Elephas maximus indicus: one gene and its partners. The protein of the gene in region 1 interacts with the protein of each later gene in a biochemical or structural test. Links are inferred from orthologs where the notes say so. Each region holds a gene or a part of one and is shown in the gene's direction. Other genes may lie near its edges.

Region 1 (7,679 bases):
AGTGATCCTACACATTACAGCCAAAAGTTGGAATTTCTCCCATTTTCACTCTCACCCATTTCTGGGGCTAGAGCCCACTCCTTTTCCTCCGTTCCTCTCCTGCAATCTCTAGGATTGGAACTACCCCTTTCTTTTCCACCACCACCCCATCTCCAAGGCTGGAACCCCTTCTATCCCACTCCTGAAATCTCTGGGGCTGGAACCTACCCTCCTCAAATCTTGAATGGCTCCGCCCATGTTTGTCTCCACCCTGGGTCTGTGCCCCACCCCATCCTGGGTACCAGGGCCACTTGGGCTGGGGGCAGGGACAGAGTCAGGCCTTGCGAATCAGAAGGAGCTGGAGCCAGTATGCAAAAGCAGCTGTAATGGTCTGAGCGGATTTATTGACAGTGAATAAAGGGCAGGAAGCCCAAGCCAAGCCTTGGCCTCTTGCGCCAAGAGGGCAGGGGGCCTAAGGTGCTATTGCTTTAAGGGCCCACCAAAGGCAGGGGCCTGCTCCCAGCTGCCACGCTCTAGCATATGGAGTGAGGTGTTAGGAAGGCAGGTCAGGTGGCCTGTTGGCAGGCAAGGGAATGGGAAGAGACTGACGGGTGTATTGAGGGCTACTTCTGAGGTCCCCCAGCTTGAGACCATGAAACTCCAGGTGGAAGTAAGGCTGGTCCCTCAGCTGGGGGCAGTGCTGTCCAGTGGAGGGGAGGGGCTTCATGTCCACCCACCCCGGACTCTGCCAGCTGGTAGTCCATTCAGCAGCAGCGAAGAATGAGGCTTGGAAGAGAGGGAGGGTAACAATGTTGCCTTCTATTTAAGGTCTGTCCCAGTTTTTTCCTGGTGACACAGGACCCCTTCACTTCCGGGTTCCTGAATCTACCCCCTGAAGCACATGCCCACTCCCCACCACCAAACCAAAAATTTGTAGCAAAGGCTAAAGCCTGCAGTTCACCTGGGGGTTCAGGGAGCTGACGGGCTTGAGTGGGGGGTAGGAGGATAAGATTCACTGCCCTGGGTCCCAGGCAGACTCACCTCACATACCCCCTGCTCCCCGTGGTGGGGACACCTGAGAGAAAAGGGAGGGGTCAGCAGTGGAAAAATAGTCCCCAGAGTAGGGGACAACAAAAGCTCAGTCTGCCACATCCCACTGAAGCCCTGGCCATGTCTTCATACCTGGTGATCTGAGATGTCCAGTTTGGTTGCTTTTGCCTCTTGACTGGGCAGCCCCGGACTTGGGCCCCTGCCTCCGGCCCCCAGCACCAGCTCTGCAGAGGCTCCAGGGTTCCCCTCAAGTGCACAAGGTACTATGCTACTGTCCCTGAGTCCTCCATTCTGCACTGGGGGGCTGGCTAGGGCTGGGGACTGTGGCCTGTTAGGGGGCAGTCTCTCCATGGCAGGCATCCCTGCCCTGGGCTGTCCTCCCCCAGATCCCTGACTGCCCCCTGGGTCCTGTCCCCCACTAGAGCCCCAGCTCCTGTCTGTTGGGGAGCCATCACGATGCTCATGCAGCCCATGGCGTTTCTCAATGTGTGTCACCCGAAACCTGGGAGGGGAGGGAACACTGGAGCTTAGGACCACAACTGAGAGGCTTCTTGCCCTCCTCTCCAATCAGGGACATCCTGGGTGTGATGGCCACTTCCCTCTGGCCTGGGCAGGGGAGGCCTTCTCAGACTTTGGGGTATATTGTGCAGCCTGACCCTGCTGCAGCGCCCAGTCCAGGAGAAAAGAGCCAGGGAGGGCCCTTTGGAGATCCTGCATGGAGTCCCACCAGGCCCACCTTTTGAGTTAGATGCCTGATCACTGTGGCCCCCACCTCTACCTCCCTTTCCCTGGAACACTGTGGCCCCACCTGCCCACAGAGAACACGGTGGTCTCTCCAGGCCGGGGTCGGCTCTTTCCTTCCTTGGAGCGGCCCTGACGGACAAGTGGGGGCCTCTTGCTGCGGCTGCAATGGATGCAAGGGGCTGCAGAGCCCAGATGCACTGTGTGATGGTGGGAGGGGGCTCCATCCTGCAGGCTGGAGGTGGCATCCACGCTGGACAGGAAGGAGGAGAACAGGGGTGACATTCCCATCTCCCTTCCTGTTCTGTTGCCTCCTGTTCTTTCAGCATGCTCGTTAAACCCCCAGATATCCCACTTCCCCAAGACCCCAACATTCTTTTCTTGTCTTTGTGTAATAAACTCAGTATTAAGATGTCAGTGACCATGCATTCTCCCTCTCGGGACTGTTTGCCAGAAAGAGAATAATGGTTAACCCAAAGGAGTGGCATTAAGGGTGAGTGTTAGGCTTGCCGATGTTCAGGTGGGAGAGATGGTTTGAAGGACCCTGGATTTCTACAAAACTTTTTACCTATAGGTGAGCCAACCTTGCCATCTACTTCCATGCCCCCACAAACATGCAAGGAGACTGGGAAAGAATTGTGCTGGAGGAGAGTACTTTCCAAGGCAACCAAAGCCATGCTGGACCTTATTTCCAGGCAACTCACCTGGACAGCTGCACTGTCCCTTCTCCTTCACTGTCCCCCAGCATCTCCTTCAAGGCCTCAGCATTGGCTGAGGGGAGAAAGAAAAGATGGAGTTAGTGGAGGTCAGGGCAAGAGAAGGGGGTGGGGAAGGAGTCAGCCTACACCTACCTTCATTTTGGATGATGCATCGAACAATCCTCTCTACTGTGTCCTCATTCATGTCATCCTCCTCAGCTGAAGGATGAAAGAGGTTGGCAAGGAAGAGAGAAAAGAATCACTTTGGGGGGGGGGCATTACCTGGTGGTTCCTGTGGCTTACTCCTCAAAACATATCCCTTAATCTATTTGCTCTCATGCTGGACTTTAGCATTTCAGGAGCCAGGCCAGGGAAGATGGGGAGGTCAATGGGAGCCAAAGACCTTCCTCCCCATGTTGCCTCCTCTAGTCTTGCCTTTAGGGTGGTTTCACCCCACTTGCTGACTCAAGGAAGCATCACTAGGCCTCCTGCAGGCTTGACTGGGATCGGACCTAGGTCTGTTGGCCAGGGAAAGCGGAAAAAGATGTGGGGAGAAGCGTTTAAGAGAGAAAGATGGCTGAGCCAGGGTTCCCGGCTCCTGACTCACGGGACTGGAGCTGGGCGTCGTCAGGCTCCGAGCCCCTCGATGTGCGGCAGCGGTAGCCCTTCTTCTTGAGCACGTGGCAGATCATGAAGCCTACGAGGCCCATGAGGAAGAAGACCAGCACAAGCAGGAAGAGCATGTACAGCTCATGCTGGGGAGGCTCCAGGTCAGGCTGTGGTTCCGACATGAGGCCCTGGGGGGCGAGCGCGGGCCAGGGCGCCTCCTGGGGGGAGGGGGCTGCAGCTGGGGATGTTGGGGAGGGGTAGGAATGCCTCAGATTCCAAACTGGCAAGGCTCAGAGATCCGGTCCCACCCCCTACCCAACCAGGGAGCTGTCCGGGCCAGGGGTGCTGGTGCGCCAAGAGCTGCCGGGACGCGGGGCCAGACAGCGGCTGCGCAAGTCTTCTTCCACGACCCTGGTCCCGCTTCCCCGACGCCCGGAGCTTTCCCCTTTCCAGCTCGTCCCTGCTCTTCCGTCCCTCCCAAGGACACTGCAGCGCAAGACGGGACGGAATTCTCAGGCGGCGGGCGCAGGAGTCGCGCCTGAGTCAGCGTTCGCACCCGCTCCGCGCCGGCCTGGGCCCGGCCTCTGCAGCCCCCTCCCCTGCCTTCCTTCCCGCACCCTCCCTTTTACGATTCCTTCCACCCTGAGCACCTGGCCCACCCAGTACCGGTGGTTCGGTTCTGGCTTCGGCTCGGGTTTCGGCTCCAGGGGCGTCCTAGTCCTGCTCGGGGCCCCCGACGCCCTCCCGGCGCTCATCCCTTGTTTCCTTCCCCTCCCCCTTCGCCGCCTCACCGGCTCCGGGCTGCGGCTGCGGCTACCGGTGCAGCGGCAGGCGGGGGGAGGGAAGGATGGAGAGGGATGAGGGCTGGCTGGGAGCCGCAGCAGGCTTCAGACAACTCCGGCCCTGGGAAGGAAGGGGGGTGGGAGGCGCCGCCGCAGCAACCCCTGGGTTTCCAAATGCCTTCGCCCGCCGCCGGCCCGGGACCGGGGGGCGGAGCGCAGGTGTGCGGAGCGGAGAGCTTGAGCTGTGCGCGCGTGTGTGAGCGCAAGTGTGGTGCGCGCGTGACTGGCTGGCACCTCTCCGGGGGGAGCGCGGCGCCGTCTGAGTCCGGGTCAGGACAGGCGGCCCGGCCCGGCGGGTGTGCTCCCCTCTGGTCTATCCCGCACGCCTGGAGAGGCTCCTGTCCGCAGATGCCCTAGCCGGGCGGATAGCCAGGGATCTCTCCAGCGGGCAGGCAGAAACCGGTTTTCTGCACCCGAGCGCGGCGGCGTGGCTGGTTCTCCAGAGCGTACTAGCGGGGCGGGCGCGGAGACCACGGCCGCACTCTCCTCTGGGGCAGAAGGCTGGACTAATGGCTCGGCTTCACGAAGATTTGGCCCCCGCCCGGAAGGAAATGACCCTCCCACGCTGAGACCGAGGTTACTTGTCCAGCACTCGAGCCGGGACGCTTACACCCAACCCCCAGGGGCCTGGCCAGCCGGGGGAGGGGCGGAGTCTTGCAGGGGGTGTGACCTGGGCGTGGTCTCACGGAGGCGGGGCCTAGGCCTCCCAGTTCCGCAGAGGCGGGCTGCGTACATACGCAGCACGCACGGCCGGGGGCGGGGCTGGCGGCCGGGCGGGCGGCGGAGGCCGGGGCCTGGTCCCGCGGTCGCCATGGCCAAGACCGTGGCCTATTTCTACGACCCGGACGTGGGCAACTTCCATTATGGTGAGGGATCAGGGTTGTGTGCGAGGGGTTTCAGGGCGCAGAGGTTTCGAGGCAGGGGCTGCAACTCCGGGGGTGGACACTGACGAACTCTCTTCTCCCCACCCCCATTGCCCAGGGGCTGGACATCCTATGAAGCCTCATCGCCTGGCATTGACCCATAGTCTGGTTCTGCACTACGGTCTCTATAAGAAGATGATCGTAAGTCCCGCTGCCTCTGCCATGTGTTAGGGGTGGGGCGAGCTGTGGTCTTAGGGCTAGGTGGGCTGGACTGAATGCACCAGGTGCGATCTGCATACGAAAACAGGAGCGGGGGGGTGGGGGGCGGTGTAGCTGGACAGAAGGCACGAGGAGAAACCTCCCTCCAACGTGTTGAGGATGGTGTTCTCTGACTTAACGGGAGTTACTTTTTTCACTTAAGGTCAGCCACCCTTTGGCCCCAAGTGGACCAGCCCTTGACCTAGGGGTATGGTGGGGTGGGGCTGGGTTGAAGACCTGATGTTTTCATCCTTAGCGTCTTAGTGTGTGGGTAGTGCTGTGGCCTTAAGGGTGGGGGAGGGGCTGGACCACTGTACCTGACTGTGGGGTTTACCCTCATTTCCCACCTTTTCTCCTCATGTCCTGTTTCTTTCTGGAAGATGTTAGAGCTCTCGAGGGAGGGCCCACCAGCCTTGGGTGTAAATGTGTATGCGTGTATGGAGGGAGACAGGAGACATCCTGGGTATCTCCTTTCTAACCTAGAACGCTGCTACTCAAACCTTCATCTCCCAGACATCACACACGCTGCCCCCAGCTTGTAATTTATAGTTGTGATTTGGCGGTATAACAGGCCTAACCCTTATGCGTTGTGAGGGGAATTGGCCAACAATATGAATGAGTGTCCGCTGCTTGTGCTGAGGCACAGTCAAGTGGATTGGTCATAGAAAAGACTGAAGTGATGTTAATGCACGAGTCAATGAATTCCCTGAAATCATTTGCCTATATATACCTGTGTGCATTTTCTAGAGAGAGAAAAACTGCACTGTTCTTGCCCAGTTTCCAAAGGGGCATGTGAGGTACCCAAAAGATACTAAATCTCTGGTTTAGTCCTTTGGGTTTTAATTAGAAGGTGGTCTTTGACTCTAGAATGGGAGAAGGGAGGGGATAGCTGGATAGAAGACACCAGGAGTAACCTCCCTCCTTCTCCAGAGTGTAGAGGATGGTGTCCTCTGACTTAACGGGGGTTACTTTTTCACTTCAGGTCAGCCACCCCTTGGCCTCAGGTGGACCGGCCCTTGGCTTAGGGGTATGGTGGGGTGGGGCTGGTTTGAAGACCTGATGTCTTCATCCCTAGCATCTTAGTATGTGGGTAGTGCTGTGGCCTTAAAGGTGGGGGAGGGGCTGGACCACTGTACCTGACTGTGGGGTTTACCCTCATTTCCCATCCCTTCTCCTCGTCTCTTCTTTCTACCTGGAAGATGTTAGAGCTCTAGAGGGAGGGCCCAGCAGCCCTGGGCTGGAGGTGGGAATGAGGCAGGAAGCCCGGTCAGGGGGCTCGATCATAATAACCCACTTGGCTCATCAGAGCCTGTTTTCTTCAGGCGCAGAGTGACCTTTGCCTCACAGAATAACAAGGATTGGTGTGTTGTGATGTGATGTCCGTTGCGTGTGGTGTGGTGACTGCTGCGTGCGGACTTGAACAATTGCCAGGGTTGGGTTCAGTGTGAGTGGTCTCAGCCCCGTGAGTGGGCATGACCCTGCCTGGGTTCATCTTGTGTCTCCATCCCGAGGTTTTCAAGCCATACCAGGCTTCCCAGCACGACATGTGCCGCTTCCACTCCGAGGACTACATCGACTTCCTGCAGAGAGTCAGCCCCACCAATATGCAAGGCTTCACCAAGAGCCTTAATGCCTTCAATGTGGGTGATGACTGGTGAGGAGAGGACTGGGAATTTTGATGCTCGGCACTTCAAAAGGGGGAATTCTTGCACGAGATCTTGTGGCAACAGCACTGGAAAGCTAAGAAGAGGGCTTACTTATCAGTGAATCACCACTTTCTCATTTGTTTATTCAGCAAATAGTTATTGATCATTTGCTATAGGCCAGATCTGGTGCTAAGTGCTGGGCATACAATGATGAACAAAAATGAAAAAAGCTAGGAGGTGGGAATAAACAATCGTGGAGCTTGCAGTCTAGTGGGAAGGCAATCATCTAATCTATACATAAATTTAATATTGTGGTTGTGCCAAGTCCTATGCAGGAAGGGGTACATGACAGACTGTGAAAGCGTATAGTTGGGAGAATAATCTAGTTTAGGAGGAGGCTGGTCAGGGAAGACTTCCTAGAGGGAGTAAAGAGAGGATTGAACTGACATCTGCAGAAAGAGCAGGAAGTGATTAGGTGAAAGGGGGTTGGGTGGCTGGAGGGGGAGAGAGCATATGGTGGGCAGCAGGGACTATATGTGTTAATGGTCTCTGGTAGGATAGAGTATGACTCATTTGAGGGACAGAAAAAAGGCCGAGTGCTGAATATGAAGAGGAGAGTGATCTGAATTGAGGTTAAAAGAGACAGGCGTGGCCTGACCTTTTAAGCAGCCCTATCATGCAAACCCTGGTGGCATAGTGGTTAAGAGCTGTGGCTGTAACCAGAGGTCAGTGGTTCGAATCCACCAGGCGCTCCTTGAAAACACTATGGGGCAGTTCTACTCTGTCTTATAGGGTTGCTATGAGTCGGAATCGACTCGACGGCAACGGGTTTTTTGGATTAAGTAGAGAGGGGCCCTCGTGGTGCAGTGGTTAAGCACTCGGCTGCCTGTGGTTCAAACCCACCAGCCGTTCTGAGGGAGAAAGATGTGGCAGTCTGGTTCTGTAAAGATTACAGCCTTGGGAACCCAATGGGCCAGTTCTATTCCATTCTAT
Region 2 (7,239 bases), on another chromosome or scaffold:
CTAGGAAAAATGAGAAAGGTTCTCTTTGGCATCATCGCACATTTCTGAACCTCTCTCTGTCCTCTTCGCCTGTGTTCCCTAATATACCCAGTATCCTGCTATTGTCTTCTGGCTGCCCAAGATAGAGGAACCACCACTGCTCATTCTCTCTTCTTCAGTCAAAATCTTGATTATTTAGAAGCATTTCTTTAAATGAGACCATCAGACCAACCCTTAACTCATATAACGCTGTAATATAACAACTAAGTGAGCGTCTTAGTTATCTAGTGATACCATAACAGACATACAAGTGGTTGGCCTTAACAAAGAAAATTTATTCTGTCACAGTGAAGGAGGCTAGAAGTTCGAATTCAGGGTGCCAGCTCCAGGGGAAGGCATTCCTCTGTTAGCTCTGGAGGAAGGTCCTTGTCATCAATCTTCCCCTGGTCTCAGACCTTCTCCATGCAGGGGCATTGGGTCCAAAGGACAACGCTATTTTCCTGGCTCTTGTTTCTTGTTGGTATGAGGTGTCCCCCCACCTTCTCTTTTGTATCTCAAAAGAGACTGACTTAAAACACCACTTAATCTTGTAGATTGAGTCCTGCCTCATTAACATAACTGCTTCTAATCCTGCCTCACTAAAATCATACAGGTAGGATTTACAACACAGGAAAATCACATCAGATGACAAAATGGTAGACAGTCACACAATACTGGGAATCATGATCAAGTCAAACTGATACACTTTTTTTTGGCCGGGGGAGGGGGGGACAATTCAATCCATAACAGTGAGCATGACAGCTTTAAAGTATAATTTTGTTAGCCAAGTTTATATGGGTGGTAGAATATATCTGGAAACGGGGAAAGCCTGCTATTTGGTTATTTAGTTAAAATGTAAATATCAGTATATGATATGTCTTGAATGCATACTTTCATTGTGCTAAATTTTTGGAAAGTTTGAGATCCATTGTAGTGAAATATAATTACTGAGATTTCCAGAGAATTGAAAGCAGATACTGTATTTAATGTAGCAGTTTCTTTCATAGTAACTACCCTGTGCTTTTTAAGAGAAAATATTAAGTATTTCCTCAGGTATCTTAACCCTTTTCCTCAGGTATCATACCCTCCAGCTAATCCTCACCCATCCTTTTCTGTTCTTACTGTTTTCTTCTTTATTCTCACTTCCCCCCACTTTAAGTAGAAGAAAGTGAGGACAGAAGTCTTGTCATTAAAACTCAAACAGCCCCAAAATGCCCTCATTATTACTTAGATCTTAAACCTATACTCTTCACCATCCTACAAGGCCACATTTGCAACTACCTGTTAGATAGCTGGAAACCCTGGTGGCGTAGTGGTTAAGTGCTATGGCTGCTAACCAAAAGGTTGACAGTTTGAATCTACCAGGCTCTCCTGGGAAACTCTATGTGTCCTAGAGTGTCACTATGAGTCGGAATTGACTCGACGGCAACAGGTGGGTTGGATAGCTACACGAGTCCTTCTCAAGCATTTTAAATTTTATAGGACTAAATCTCAACTCACCTTCCCATTCAAATCTCCTTCTTTTATTTTCACCCATAATGGAAAGGCATCATTCTGGGCTCTGGGATCTGTCTCCAAGTCTCAACAAGGCTCTTTGCAGTTATCCTTGTATCCTTTCCATCCTCCTTGCCCTTTTACTTTTTGCCCTTTTATTGTTACTGCATAGGCCCTGACTCAAGTCCCTGTTACTACTTCCCAATGATTACAGTAACTTTTCTTCTTACCTCAATACCTTCTTTATGTGGTCCCATTTTCAGCACTGCCAGAGCTATCTTTCTACAGCATAGCTATAATCTAGTTTTATCTCCTGCTATTATTATATATATTTTTTTATTACAACCTTCAGTGGCTTCCAGGTGGCTTGGCATGGAATGCAAATTCTATTACAGTTCGCCCCAAACCATGTCTCACCTTTATATATTACTTTTCCTCAGGTATCATACCCTGCAGCCAACCCTAATCCATCCCTTCTCTGTTCACAGTGTTTTCTTTATTCTCACTTTTCCCAAGAGTGCCCAACTTGAAAGCCTCCTCTGTGACAGTTGATCCTAGCCTTCTCTCCCCTGTTCCTCCAGAGTAGATCCAGTGTCTCCTTCCTCAGTGCTCCCGTGGCTCTTCGTTCATAAACACTTTCTTATGGTGCTTGTCACATTCTGCCCTTGAGAACCGAAACTGTATCTTGTTCATTGGAGATTCCTCTACAGCCCAGGGCAGAGTGCCTTGCATGAAGTGGACACTTATATTTGCTCAATACAGTTGCTTCTGATTTTCAAGAAAAAAGTGCCTGCAATACACAAACATTATCCTGGAGCTTATGATACTTTTAGTCATTTTCTAAACAAAAAATCTTATCTGACTTTTCCCCTTTTAAGAAAAGAGACAAATACTTTCTAGTAGGATTTTTTTTTAAGGTAAGAAATTTTCAAAAAGCTCCTTTTTTGGGTACAGGGGAAGAGATGAAGGGGGGCAGTTTTTTATATGGGTTCCTATGGCATGAAAGAACACAATCTTGAAATACTGTTGTTTCTTTAAATGATTTATGATGTATTTCTAGAAACATTTTTTAAAGTGATAAGTCTGTTTCTTATTGTCCATATAGAAATAGATCCTTTATAAATAATTAGCATTGTAAATAATGTTAATAAGTATATTTATATTAAATAAATTTAATATCTATTTCTTGTGTGATGTCTTTTAAACCAAAACTTTTAGAGTCACAGATTTAAAGATGAACCTCACTGACCTCTTGGTTTTTCTGAAGGGAAAACTCTCCTTCACCCATAAATGATGTTCCGAAATTGGCTTCTACATCCAAGTTTTAATAAGTTAACTTACTGTGACTTAAGTGAATTAATTAGATGATAAGGGGTAATCTCGCGCATCACTACAGATATGCATACTGTGCCCTGAGAATAGAGAAAAGGTCTCAGATTACTTTTCCATTTGACCTACAGTGTACTTAGCTTTCTCCTTTGGGACCAGTTTAAAGATTGCAGGATTGAGGCAGTACTTTGCCTTAAAACCATCAAACACACAACAAATGATGGTAAAAGTAAGAGGTGGACTTTTACAGAGAATGAGTCATGAATTATATTTCCACTTGCCACATGCCCTTTTTCCATGTGTTCAGTTGCATAGTTCTAGAGGGAAATGACCTAGGAGATGTTCTGGTTCCCAAACGCACATTTGTTTTTCCTGACTTGGGCTTCTGCCTTGAATCGGCAGCTGCTTTTCTACAGTGCTGACCCTCAGTAAGATGGACTGACACTGTGGCTGTAATAATGGGCTCAAGCATAGCAACAACTGTGAGAATGTTGCAGGACCGGGCAGTGTTTGGTTCTGTTGTGCACAGGGACGCTGAGTCAGTACCGACTTGATGACAACAACAACGACCTACGCACCACACAATGGAAATTCTGAGGATCCCTTCTCTTAAAAGTCTAAACCACACAGTACTTTGCATACAGGGCAACTGCTCCTACCACACACTTTGCTGTCTCAGGTGGCCACCATCAGAAAGTGATGTTCTGTCAGTGCCCTTTAACACCTTTATTTACCATCAGGCATTGTCCTAGTGCATGAGGATACACCACTGACAAAGCAGGTAAAAACCAGCCTTCAGGGAGCTTACATTCTAGTGATTATATTCTTGCTCCATTTAATCACATCTCCATTATTTACTCACAATAATTGGTAAATAAAAACCTTGCCTTACGATATATCATTCTGCCTCGGCTCGTTTATATTTAAATAAGGAAATTTTAAATACTTGACTGGGATCTTGTTAATCCTCTAATAAAACCTAGAGTTGTTTGGCACAAATTAGAAACCGAATTGCCTAAAAACAATTGGGTTATGTTTTATTTTTATTATTCAAATCTGAGACGTTGACTCAAAACTTCCTTTTGACAAACACCGTACTTCTAAAAGTACCTGATGGGGACACACAGCTCTCGGCCATTGTCCCTCCGAGCCGACAGGGGGCAGGCGACTTTCAAAACCGCGGCTGGGTTCCTCTCATCCCTCCTCCCCACCCTCCCAACAGAGAACGTCACGCCCCCCTCTCGCGGCTCCTCCACACCGTTAATGCGCAGGCGCGGGCGGGAGCGCGCACCAAGGAGCCGAGGGAGGGGTCACGAACTCTGACCCCCCCCCGAAATACACAAACTCAAAGCTCCCTCCTCCCGCTCCCTGGGTCCTCTTACTCCCCACCTTTCTCCAACCTGTCTCCTCCCGGAACTCCCCAGCATCCGCCGCAGCGGGGCTGTCGGGTCTACGCCCGGAACAGGACCGAGCGCGGCGGAGAACCGCGGGTAAGAAGCGCCGGTGGGGAGAAAAGCGGCCGCACCAGGGGCGGGGGTCGAGAGTGTCCCTTTAACCCAACTGCCAACGGACGCACCCGCAGGACGCCCCCGCAGCCTGCGGGCTCCGGCCGGCAGGGCCGGCCCGTCTGGCACTGCCGCGGTGGGCTGCTCAGGTGGGGTTGGGAGGAAGAACGGAGAGTGGCCGGAGCGGCGGGGCCGAGTGTGCGGGGCTCCAAGAGTGACCGGCGCGGGGACGCGGGTCCTCGTGAGGGCGGCACAGCGGGGCGCGGGAGGTAGTCAGCGAGCTGCTCGGTGCGCACGGCCGCCTCTCCCGCCGCGCCTCCTGCGGCGCCTCTGACCTTTCACCTACAGGAAAAGCTTCCGTCTCGGCGCTGCTGCCGCTTCCCCCTCCCCAAGGGGCCGCGCGCCGTGGCTGGGCCTGTAGGGCGCGTGGCGGCTGGCGGGACTCAGAGGCGCGGGGAGCGGTCCGACGTGGGAGAGGCTGACCCTTTCTTCGAGTGGCCGCTGGCAGAGGCCTGAACCCTTGTCACCTAGGGACTCTCAGATTTTGGTGCTTACAAGTGACTGACGGAACAACGCCCGCAACTTTCACTTTTATTTTATTTTGAAGGGGGAGAGTGTCGCCGCTGCCTTTGGACCTGTGTCTTTTGCATGTCCGAGCACCCAGTAGCTTTTGTTAATAAACCCTGTCTTCAGCTCGCACAGATATCGTTCCATGAATTACAAATGTTGCTGAATTGCCCTGTAACCTGCAGTAAGTAGGTCAGTCTGTAATAAAACAATTGGAAAGGAAAAGGAAAAAAAAAGACTTGAAAGTAAAGCCTTTAGGGTTTTTGCGTCTCTGAAAGTTGTAAATAGGCTGTTGACCTTGAAGTTTTTGAACGGTGTTTGCTGTGTGCTTGGTTGTTACAGGAAGATTGTATTTCAACTTTGTATGTCCGATTGGTAGATCTAAAAGATACTTAGATTTTATTCTTATGAAAAATATATTGTATTCTTAAAAAAAGGGGGGGGTTTCACGAAATGTTGCTAATTTCATCATTCCTTGTGGAGGCATTTCAATTTTATAGGAATTGAGGTATTTTGTTTTTTATTGTGCTTTAGGTGAAAGTTTACAGCTCAGGTTAATTTTTCGTACAAAAATTTGTACACATTGTTTTGTGACGTTAGTTGCAATCCTCCCAATGTGAGGACCCCCCCCCCCCCCGCCCCATGTCCATTCGGCTAGTTCTTATGACTTTCCATCCTGTGTTTGGACAGGAGCCGCCCATTTGGTCTTCTGTATCTGAATGAACTAAGAAAAGAAGCACATTCCTCACGCGTATTATTTTTTGTTTTATAGTCCTGTCAGATCTTTGTCCGAAAAGTGGGCTTCGGGAATGGTTTCAGTTCTGGGTTAACAGTGTGTCAGGAGGCCATAGTTTTGGGGGTTCCTCCAGTTTCCAGTAAGTTTGGGCTTTTAAGGAAGACACAAACCAACGGCAGCAAAAATTCCTGAAATACCTACTTCTGTGTGTCTGCCGCAGAGCCTAATTCCTACCTTTGGGATATAAAAAAAGACAAAAGAAGTAGCATACGATAATTAATAAATATTAGAAATATAATTCCTTACTTTCTTTCCATACACATTGCTGTGGAGTCGATTTCGACTCATAGCGACCCCATAGGACAGAGTAGAACTGCCCCTTAGTGTTTCCAAAGAGCGTCTGGTGGATTCAAACTGTTGGCCTATTTTTGTTCAGCAGATGAGCTCTTAACCACTATACCACCAGGACTCCAAATCACAAAATCCTTCGGCAACCTTTAAAAATCTTGTTTTGAAAGCCGTGGACTCCTCCTTAGAAAAATGCACGTGCACATACAGTTTTGCATACAATAGAAAAAAAGGAGTTTATTCATGAATCCTAGTTAACAACCTTACTGTACACAGTAAATACTAGACCAGTCTGGCAAGAGTGGGTAAAAACTATTTGAACTGAGCTGGGGTGGGGAAGGGAGTGTAGGAGATTGGAACGATATATTGAGGAATAAGTAACATCTTTTTTTTTTTTTTACTTTAACCTGAATAGGTGGCGTCTCTTGGGAATGATAGGAGAGAAGATGAGGAAATCAAATTATAAAGGAGTTCGCCATAGTTTTCTCAGGGCCAGGCATGTAGTGGTTGCTTAATAAATACTGAAAGAATACCAAGGCAAGGAGTTAGGACTTATTCTTTGGCCATTAAAAAGACACCGATGGTTCCAAAGCAGGAAAATAAGGATGTAATTCAGTTCCGCAAACATGCTGAGAACCTACTTGCCAAAGCACTCTACCAGGTACTGATACAAAGATGGTTCTTGTTTTCTATTGTGTGCCAGCGATTCCTGCTCATATCGACCCTGTAGGGCAGAGTAGAACTGCCCCATAGGATTTTCTAAGCTGTAATCTTTACGGAGGAGTCTTGGTTGTGCAATAGTTAAACACTCGGCTGCTACCTGAAAGGGCAGCAGCTCAAACTGACGAGCTGCTCCATGTGAAAAAGTTGTGTAGGTCTACTCCCATAAAAATTACAGCCTTGGAAACCTTATTAGGAATCAGTTGGACAGCAAAGTGTTCACCCTAGCAGATCTCCAAGTCTTTTCTCCCGCAGAGGAGCAGCTGGTCAGTTCCAACAGCCTAACCTTTTGGTTAGCAGCCAAGCACTTAACCATTGTACCACCAGGGCTCCTTTCTTACCTTCTAGTGGCTTTTAATATGCATAGAGTTGTATATGTTAAATACACATTCAGGAAGCTCAGTTCTGGCAGTAGCTGAAATTTTACTCCATGTGTTAAGTTGGGATTCTTGGACGAGGAGGTTTTATGAACCCCTTAGTATTTAACATATGCTGTTGTTTGCACTGTGAATGTACTTGTGT
Region 3 (7,535 bases), on another chromosome or scaffold:
GCTCAGTTTATTTTGGTCCATTTTTATGTCCATGTGAGTTAGTTGTTTCTTAAATAACCTATGACAAAATATTATAATTACTTTTAATATGAAATCTGATTAAAGAGTCCACATGATATAGGCATTTTGTTGGTAACTTAGGGTGCTTCATAAATTGCTTGATTTGTATATGTTGTCAAGAGTTGACCAACATTTATTGAGCCTGCTATGTGACAGGCTCTATGTTGACCAAACTTATAATTTTGTTTGTTGGCTACTTTTTAACTCTATAAGATGGAGAACACATTTATCTTGTTCATCATTGTGTCCTTAGCACCCAGCTTAATTCCTGCCACATATTATATTGCCAATAAATATTTGTCGTAAATGAATGAAATGTAGTGAATAAGGTAGACTTCTGCTTTTAAGTAACATAGTCTAGGGGGAGAAGGGATGACAGAATGTGATAAGTTTTATAAAAGTAGGTGCTATTAGATTCAGATGCTATAGAATAATTAACTGCTGAAAATAATTGTATGTTTGCATGGCTAAAGCACAGTGTGAGAGCCATTAAAGGCTTAGAAGGCCTAGCTATACAGTAGATAGGCAACTTGAATGGTGTCTGAGAAAAATGAGAATAGAAGTAGCAGTAGGTGAAGAGTACAGAAATTAGTCCCTTTGAGGATAGTTAGAAAGATTGGGTCTGTGTAGTTCCCAAATATAAGAGACTACTGTAGAACTTGAGAACCAGGTAATACTATTGGCTTCAGAAACAAAACTAAGAATATCCCCCAAATAGTTAACATGGTAGAAACTAGCTACATTATAGTTGAGGGAAGGTAGAAAAACAGGAGGAAGAAGGGTATTGAGAGCCACCCCCAATAACCCATAAATATTGAAAAATGATCAATTATTTACTGATATTGCTTTGAAGGGTTAACATATTTCCCCCCTAACTCATACCATACTCCATCCCAATGGTGCCTGATTTATTAAGAGATGTGATTTAGACACTTCGAAGAGTAGAAAGTTGATGAAGGACAATAGAATCCTGGCCTGGGAATTGGAGGTCCTAACGACTGAGACTGTAATTGCAACTCTGTCACCACTGGGCTATTCAGCCTAGAGAATGTACTTGTCATTGTGGGGCCTAGTTTTCTCATCTTATTAATAAAGTGTTGGACTCTAAATAGTTCCTCCCACTCTAAAATAGTATCATCCTGCCAATTTTATCATTTTATAATCTAGCATGATCTTAATAACGTTAAAAAAAAAGTATAATCTTAATAACATTTTAATAAAACATACCTTTTCAAAAAGTTAAAGAGACTCTGGAATCTAAGAGCAAGAATGAGATGATTGTAGGGATTTGAGTGAGATACTGCCCCTTGATAGGAAATAAGGCTGTTTGTCCTCTAGACCCAAACATATCTTGGGACATTGAATAGGAGTATCTATAGGCAGAATGGGGCTTATATTCTTTTCTATTTTATTAAAAAGAAGGAAAGTGCTGTGACTTTAATGATTTATTTTGCTCTATCATAAATTGAACCAAAAATCTGAGATTCAATCATATCCTTAAATATTATGTCATTGTGTCTGGATTACTTTGTAACATAATTAAGTTTCCCAGGATTAAGAGAGAAGGAGCAACCCCTTTATTGAGAATTCAAATTGAATATAGACCTAGTTCTATAATTACTTCAGTCATTTGGACTGTCAAGAAACTTACTTTAACTTGAATTACCTTAATAAAAACCTGTTAATAAAAGGTGTTTTTTTTTATTCTCTTGCTTTAAATAGCCATATAATTGCCCAACCTTCTACTTTGTTCTGTGCCGTTCAGATCTAGTAAGTGTTTTCCCACCAAACTATTGCTCCGTAATTGGCAGGGAAACTTTTACTAGTCCCCTTGAAGGATAACTGGTTATTCAGTGTCCGTTGGCTAGATTATATACATATATTCACTTGGGGAATATCAGGATATATGCAGCTGAGAGAATTATTGCCATCTATACTGCCCTATGTGGGGGCAACTTTTTAAATCCACAAGTCACTGCAATTCTATTAGGCCACTTAATGTGACAAGAGGTGGCTTGCTCCCACATTAGGAGTTTGGCAGAGCTAGCGCTTCTCCTTGCCAAAAAGGGCAAAGGCCTTGAGCAAGAAGCCAGCTTTTTCCTGGTTACAAAACTGACCACAATTCCTCGCCAGTCCATCAGTGTAACTCTATTTTTTCCTGGTAATGCATTCTTCACAGAGAGAACTCTGCATTTTTCATTATAACATGGCATTTATCATTTAAACTTCAACCCATGTTTAAACATCAACTAATGCAACATTGTTACATTTGTTATTGATGGATACACTTGATCGAGTTTTGAAAAAGCAAACCCTGATATATACAATCAAAACCATATCAGGCCCTACCCAAAGCAACCTATAGATACAATGCAATCCCAGTCCAAATTCCAACAACATTCTTTACTGAAATGGAAAAACATATCACCAACTTTATAAGAAAAGGAAAGAGATCCCAAATAGCCAAAGCAATATTGAAGAAGAATAACAAAGTAGGAGGCCTGACACTCACGACCTCAAAACATACTATACAGCCACAGCAACCAAAACCGCCTGGAACTGGATCAATGACAGCAACATAAATCAATGGGACAGAATTGAGAACCCAGAAATAAATTCATCCATCTGTGGGCAGCTGATTTTTGACATGGGGTCAAAGTCCATTGAATGGGATGGAAGTAGTCTCTTTAACAAATGGTTGCTGGCAAAACTAGATATTCATTTGCAGAAAAATGAAACAAGATCCATACTTCACACCATATCAAAAAAAAAAAAAAAAAAAAAAAAACCTCAAAATAAATCAAAGACCTAAATGTTAAAGCCAAAACTATAAAGTTCCTGAAAGAAAACTTGGGGACAAAATTATGAGACCTAACTTTTTTCAGTAACGGATTACCAAACACAACTACAAATGCATGAGCAACAGACGACAAGTTAGATAACTAGAACCTCCTAAAAATTAAATGCTTATGCTCATCAAAAAACTATTAAAAGAGTAAAAAGAGAACCTACAGATTGGGAAAAAAAACTTTGGGAATGATATATCTGATAAGGGTCAAATCTCTAAAATATATGGAAAACTTCAGCAACTCAACATCAGAAAGACTAATAGCTTAATTTAAAAATAGGCAAGGGACATGAACAAACACTTCACCAAATAGGACATTCACGTGGCCAACAAACACATGAAAAGTTGTGATCATTAGCCATTAGAGAGATGTGAATCAAAACTACAATGATATATACCCTCTCACCCCTGCAAAAATGGCACTGATCAAAAAATAGAAAACAACAAATGCTGGTGAGGTTGAGGGGAGATTGGAACCTTGCTCCACTGCTAGTGAGATTGTAAATTGGCTCAACCTCTATGGAAAACGGTATGGTGCTTCCTCAAAAATCTAGAAATAGAAATACACTATGATCCAGCAATCCCATTCTAGGCGTATATGCTAAAGAACTAAAACTACTGACACAAACAGACATACACGCTCATGGTCCGTGCAGCACTGTTCACAATAGCAAAAAGATGGAACCAACCTAACTGCTCATCAGCCGATGAATGGGTCAACAAACTGTGGTACATACACACAATGGAATACTATACTGCCATAAAGAATAATGACAAGTTCTCAAAATACATTATAACATGGATGACTCTGGAGGACATTATGCTGAGTGAATTAAACCAATCACAAAAGGGCAAATACTGTATCATCTCACTATTATAAAAAGAAAAGAATAGTTACACATACAGTAAGCAACATTCTTTGGTGGTTACCAGGGATGGGAGGGAAAAAGAGGGAGAATCACTTTCTAGATAGTTGATGCTTGTTAGTTTTGGTGATGGGTAAGGTAATACTGAATAAGGATGAAGTCAGCACAACTTGACCAAGGTAAATGATCACACAAAGAAATACACAAGAATAAGGGGTGATTTTGGTAAAAAGCCACAACATATAAAATTTTGCAACAACAGTAGTAACAACCAAAAAAATATGTGCATGGTTACATGTAGATGTGTGTACTTATATATGTATAGGTAAAAACAAAAAACACACCTCTAACCAGAAGGCTGGAGGTTCAAGTTCACCCAGAGATACCTTGGAAGAAAGGCCTAGTGTTCTAAGTCTGAAAGGCCATCCTTTGAGAACTCTGTGGAGCACAGTTCTACTCTGACACGCATGGGGTTAAGTTAGAATCTACTTAACAGCAACTGGTAAAAGTAGTAGAATAAATATCTTAAAAAAAAACCAAAGAAACCCACTGCCGTTGAGTCGATTCCAACTCACAGCGACCCTATAGGACAGAGTAGAGCTGCCCCTTTGAGCTTCCAAGGAGGACCTGGCGGATTCAAACTGCCAACCTCTTGGTTAAAAACTGTAGCGCCTAACCACTACACCACCAGGGTTTCCATAATAAATATCTTAGGATTATAATATGTTGATAACAAATTTAAAATGAGTGCATATTCGAATTCAAAAGTTTACTTCAGATAACGTGGCTACAGATTCAACCAGGAATGGACAGCTAGAAAAAAACTTCGTCCAAATGAATTTCTCTGGTATTTCATAACCCAGGGATTTAAAGTCTTCCATTTTAGGAAGCTCTTGAACAATCTCCTTGCTCTGATAATTCTAAATACTGTACAGTTCACACCTCTCACAAGACTCTGAACATGTGGGTTACTGACGAGACAGTGTGGCAATATTTTTCTTGTAATGTACCAAGTCTTGCCAAAGCAGTGAGCAGCATTATGACACCACGTTTTGTCACAGCTGGCTCCCTAACAGGATGGTGCCAGCCAATTCAGGCCTGGTCCTTTCTGTGTTTATTCCCACTTCTCCCAAATATTTGGAAACTGGTGTCTTGATTCACTGGTGTATTCATGTTTTATTACTGCAAGTCTTTTTCGTTTACCGGATTGATTCTTTGCGAGGAATAGACAAAGTATCATTGTGAATCACAGCGAATCTCTTTTCCATGCTGGTATGGGTGAAACTCTGGGAGATTCTCTCATTGACCCTGAGAGCTGTTGCTTCAGTGATACACTGTCTGCAAGCACTTCACAAGGTAAAGTCTGTTCTAGAAAGGGCTATTTGGGATATTTTTGGCATTAAGTAAGGGTAAAATTGCTCGTCTAGGTTCAGACTACAGAAAAGTTGTTTTTCAAAGTATATTTATTCTAATACTATCGTGTCTATATTTCAGTACTTTAATGCTTAGTTTTCTGCCCCAATGTTCACTTATAAAGAATATTCAAAACCTTTGGGAGGGGGGAACCTAATAAAATTATTTCTGTGCATGGTTCTTACTTCCTGAATTGTAGGCATTAAAGGCGCATGTATATCCTAAACCAGTCTTATTTGTTTTTATTTCCTGAGTTTGTATACATTTCCCAAAAATACTTAAGGAATTTTTGGAATTTTTGAAGAGTCACTTTCCCCCCATTAGTCTTTTATGCTAGATATTTCTCACAGGGCTTTCTATCCCTCTTCCAGCACTTTTATTCCTCTTAAACCTCTCTGAGTACTTTTCTGTTCTACTTTGAAATCTAGGTATTTGTGTGTACATTTATCTCGCTGAAGAATTGTAAGCACCCGGAGTGTAGGGACCAAGCTATATTCTTTCTTGTGTTTCTTAGGATACCTAGCATAGTGCCTACTCTGTTTTAAAAGCATAGATTGTGGGGACCTTGAAGAACATCCGTTCTAAGAACCTCATTTCACACTTGAAGTAAATGAGTTTCCTAAAAGGTTAAATGCTTATTGTGTGCTAAATAAGATATTACTTCTGCGAGGATATGAAAGATTCAAACAGCGACTTCATTTTTCAGCATTTCTTTCTTAGCCATTGCCAAGTTTAAGTTCTTCATTTCTACAGCTCCTTCTACTGGAGTTTCTTAGGACAGCTTCTTATGTTTTGTATTGTTTCATATTTATTTCTTTGTTTCTATTTGTTTTATTTTTTTTCTCTTCTCATAGGCCTCATGTAAAAATAGATTGTGTTAACTAGTGTGAGTCATGTTTTACACTATAAATGCTAAGGCATTAATGTTAAGTCACCTAATTGTTTAAATGGACGCTTCTATTTTAAGCTTTTGATCTTTATGAAAGCCTAGAACTTTAACATATTAATCACAAATTTTAAAAGCATCATTTTTTTTAATTAAGAAAAAATATTTCCTGAAATACTGTTTCAGTTTATTATAATCCTTTGACTCAATGTATATTTCTATCTTGCTGATTTCTATCTTTCTGAGCCTCTTATATAGGACTTTATTTTCATGATGCTGTGTAAAATGATGGTATTCTATTTTTTTTGCAAGCCATAAAAATTATTGCTACCTTTCTTCAGTTATTGATTTAGCCTGCATTAGGGCAAAATGTCCTAGCTATTCCATGAAATAATAGTACTTGAATCAAAATGTGATAGTTTTCTCTGTTTGAAAAGAATATCTCTAGAGTGTAATGCAACAAACCTTTTAGGTTCTCTGGAGGCAAGTACAATAGAAGTCCTGTATATTGTAAGGACGGTTATGTGATTCAAATTGGTTTTCTTTCTGTGCTAATCTCTTACTTTTAGTGCCTTGAATTTTCCCTGTTTAATCTCCTCCAAAAGAAGAACCCAGTACTTTTCTTCTTTAAAAAAAGCTATTGTGATAAAATATATATTATAACCAAAAAATGGCTGTTATAATCATTTTAAGTGTGCAATTCAGTGACATTAATTACATTCACCATGTTGTGCGTGGTCATCACTATCTATTTCCAAAAGTTTTTCATCACCCCAAAAAGAAATTCAGTATCCCTTAAGCAATGACTTCCCATTCTCCCCTCCTTCCAACCCCAATAGCCACTGATCTACTTTTGTGTCTGTGCATTTGCCTGTTATTTTGCCAAATACGTGCCTTATATCTTATATAAGTAGACTCACACTTCTCCTTTTGTGTCTAACTTATTTCATTCAGCATAACGTTTTCAGGGTTCATCCATGTCATAGTGTATGTCTGAACTTCGTTTCTCTTATAGCCGAGTAACATTGCATTGTATGTGCGTACCACATTCGGTTTATCCATTCCTCTGCTGATGGTCACTTGGGTGGTTTCCACCTTTCGGCGATCATGAATAGTGCTGTAATGAACCTTCTTGTACAAGTATCTGTTTGAGTCCCTGCTTTCAAGACTTTTAGGTATATATCTAGGAGTGAAATTGCTGGGCCATAGTACTTTTCTTTTATTAGCAATTACAACACATTTTGTACCAGTAATTTAGTCTCATATTATCTTACATGGTTTGTGATTACATCTTATTCGTGTTGTTTTCTGTTAAAATATAAGTTCCTAAAGGCCTTCTGTTGTATTTTATGGGTAACCAGTAAATATTTACTGATGGATTGACAATTTCAATTGCTACCCCCTGCCAAAACAGACAAAAAAACTTGAAAATAAATAAGGAATGTGATCATTGTTAGCTACC

What was found. The genes of interacting proteins can lie anywhere in the genome.
Region 2: the proteins of HDAC3 (region 1) and NR2C1 form a complex in vitro, tested with the Homo sapiens proteins (4 studies listed by BioGRID). The link is inferred for Elephas maximus indicus from reciprocal best matches to the Homo sapiens genes HDAC3 and NR2C1.
Region 3: the proteins of HDAC3 (region 1) and PPARG form a complex in vitro, tested with the Homo sapiens proteins (3 studies listed by BioGRID, with this or other methods). The link is inferred for Elephas maximus indicus from reciprocal best matches to the Homo sapiens genes HDAC3 and PPARG.

The regions. Positions count from the first base shown.
Region 1 is NC_064820.1:154,963,408-154,971,086, reverse strand, and holds the start of HDAC3 (histone deacetylase 3), read left to right. Parts: upstream 1-4,679; 5' UTR 4,680-4,730; coding exon 4,731-4,785; intron 4,786-4,900; coding exon 4,901-4,983; intron 4,984-6,551; coding exon 6,552-6,694; intron 6,695-7,679. Other genes in the region: RELL2 (RELT-like protein 2), read right to left, coding at 1,022-1,054, 1,162-1,531, 1,838-2,023, 2,475-2,541, 2,622-2,687, 3,076-3,259. UniProt on the Homo sapiens protein: Histone deacetylase that catalyzes the deacetylation of lysine residues on the N-terminal part of the core histones (H2A, H2B, H3 and H4), and some other non-histone substrates.
Region 2 is NC_064822.1:160,425,798-160,433,036, reverse strand, and holds the start of NR2C1 (nuclear receptor subfamily 2 group C member 1), read left to right. Parts: upstream 1-4,237; 5' UTR 4,238-5,105; intron 5,106-6,412; 5' UTR 6,413-6,658; exon of another isoform or gene 6,659-7,239. UniProt on the Homo sapiens protein: Orphan nuclear receptor. Binds the IR7 element in the promoter of its own gene in an autoregulatory negative feedback mechanism. Primarily repressor of a broad range of genes.
Region 3 is NC_064838.1:37,499,551-37,507,085, forward strand, and holds the start of PPARG (peroxisome proliferator-activated receptor gamma), read left to right. Parts: upstream 1-4,533; 5' UTR 4,534-5,048; coding exon 5,049-5,130; intron 5,131-7,535. UniProt on the Homo sapiens protein: Nuclear receptor that binds peroxisome proliferators such as hypolipidemic drugs and fatty acids.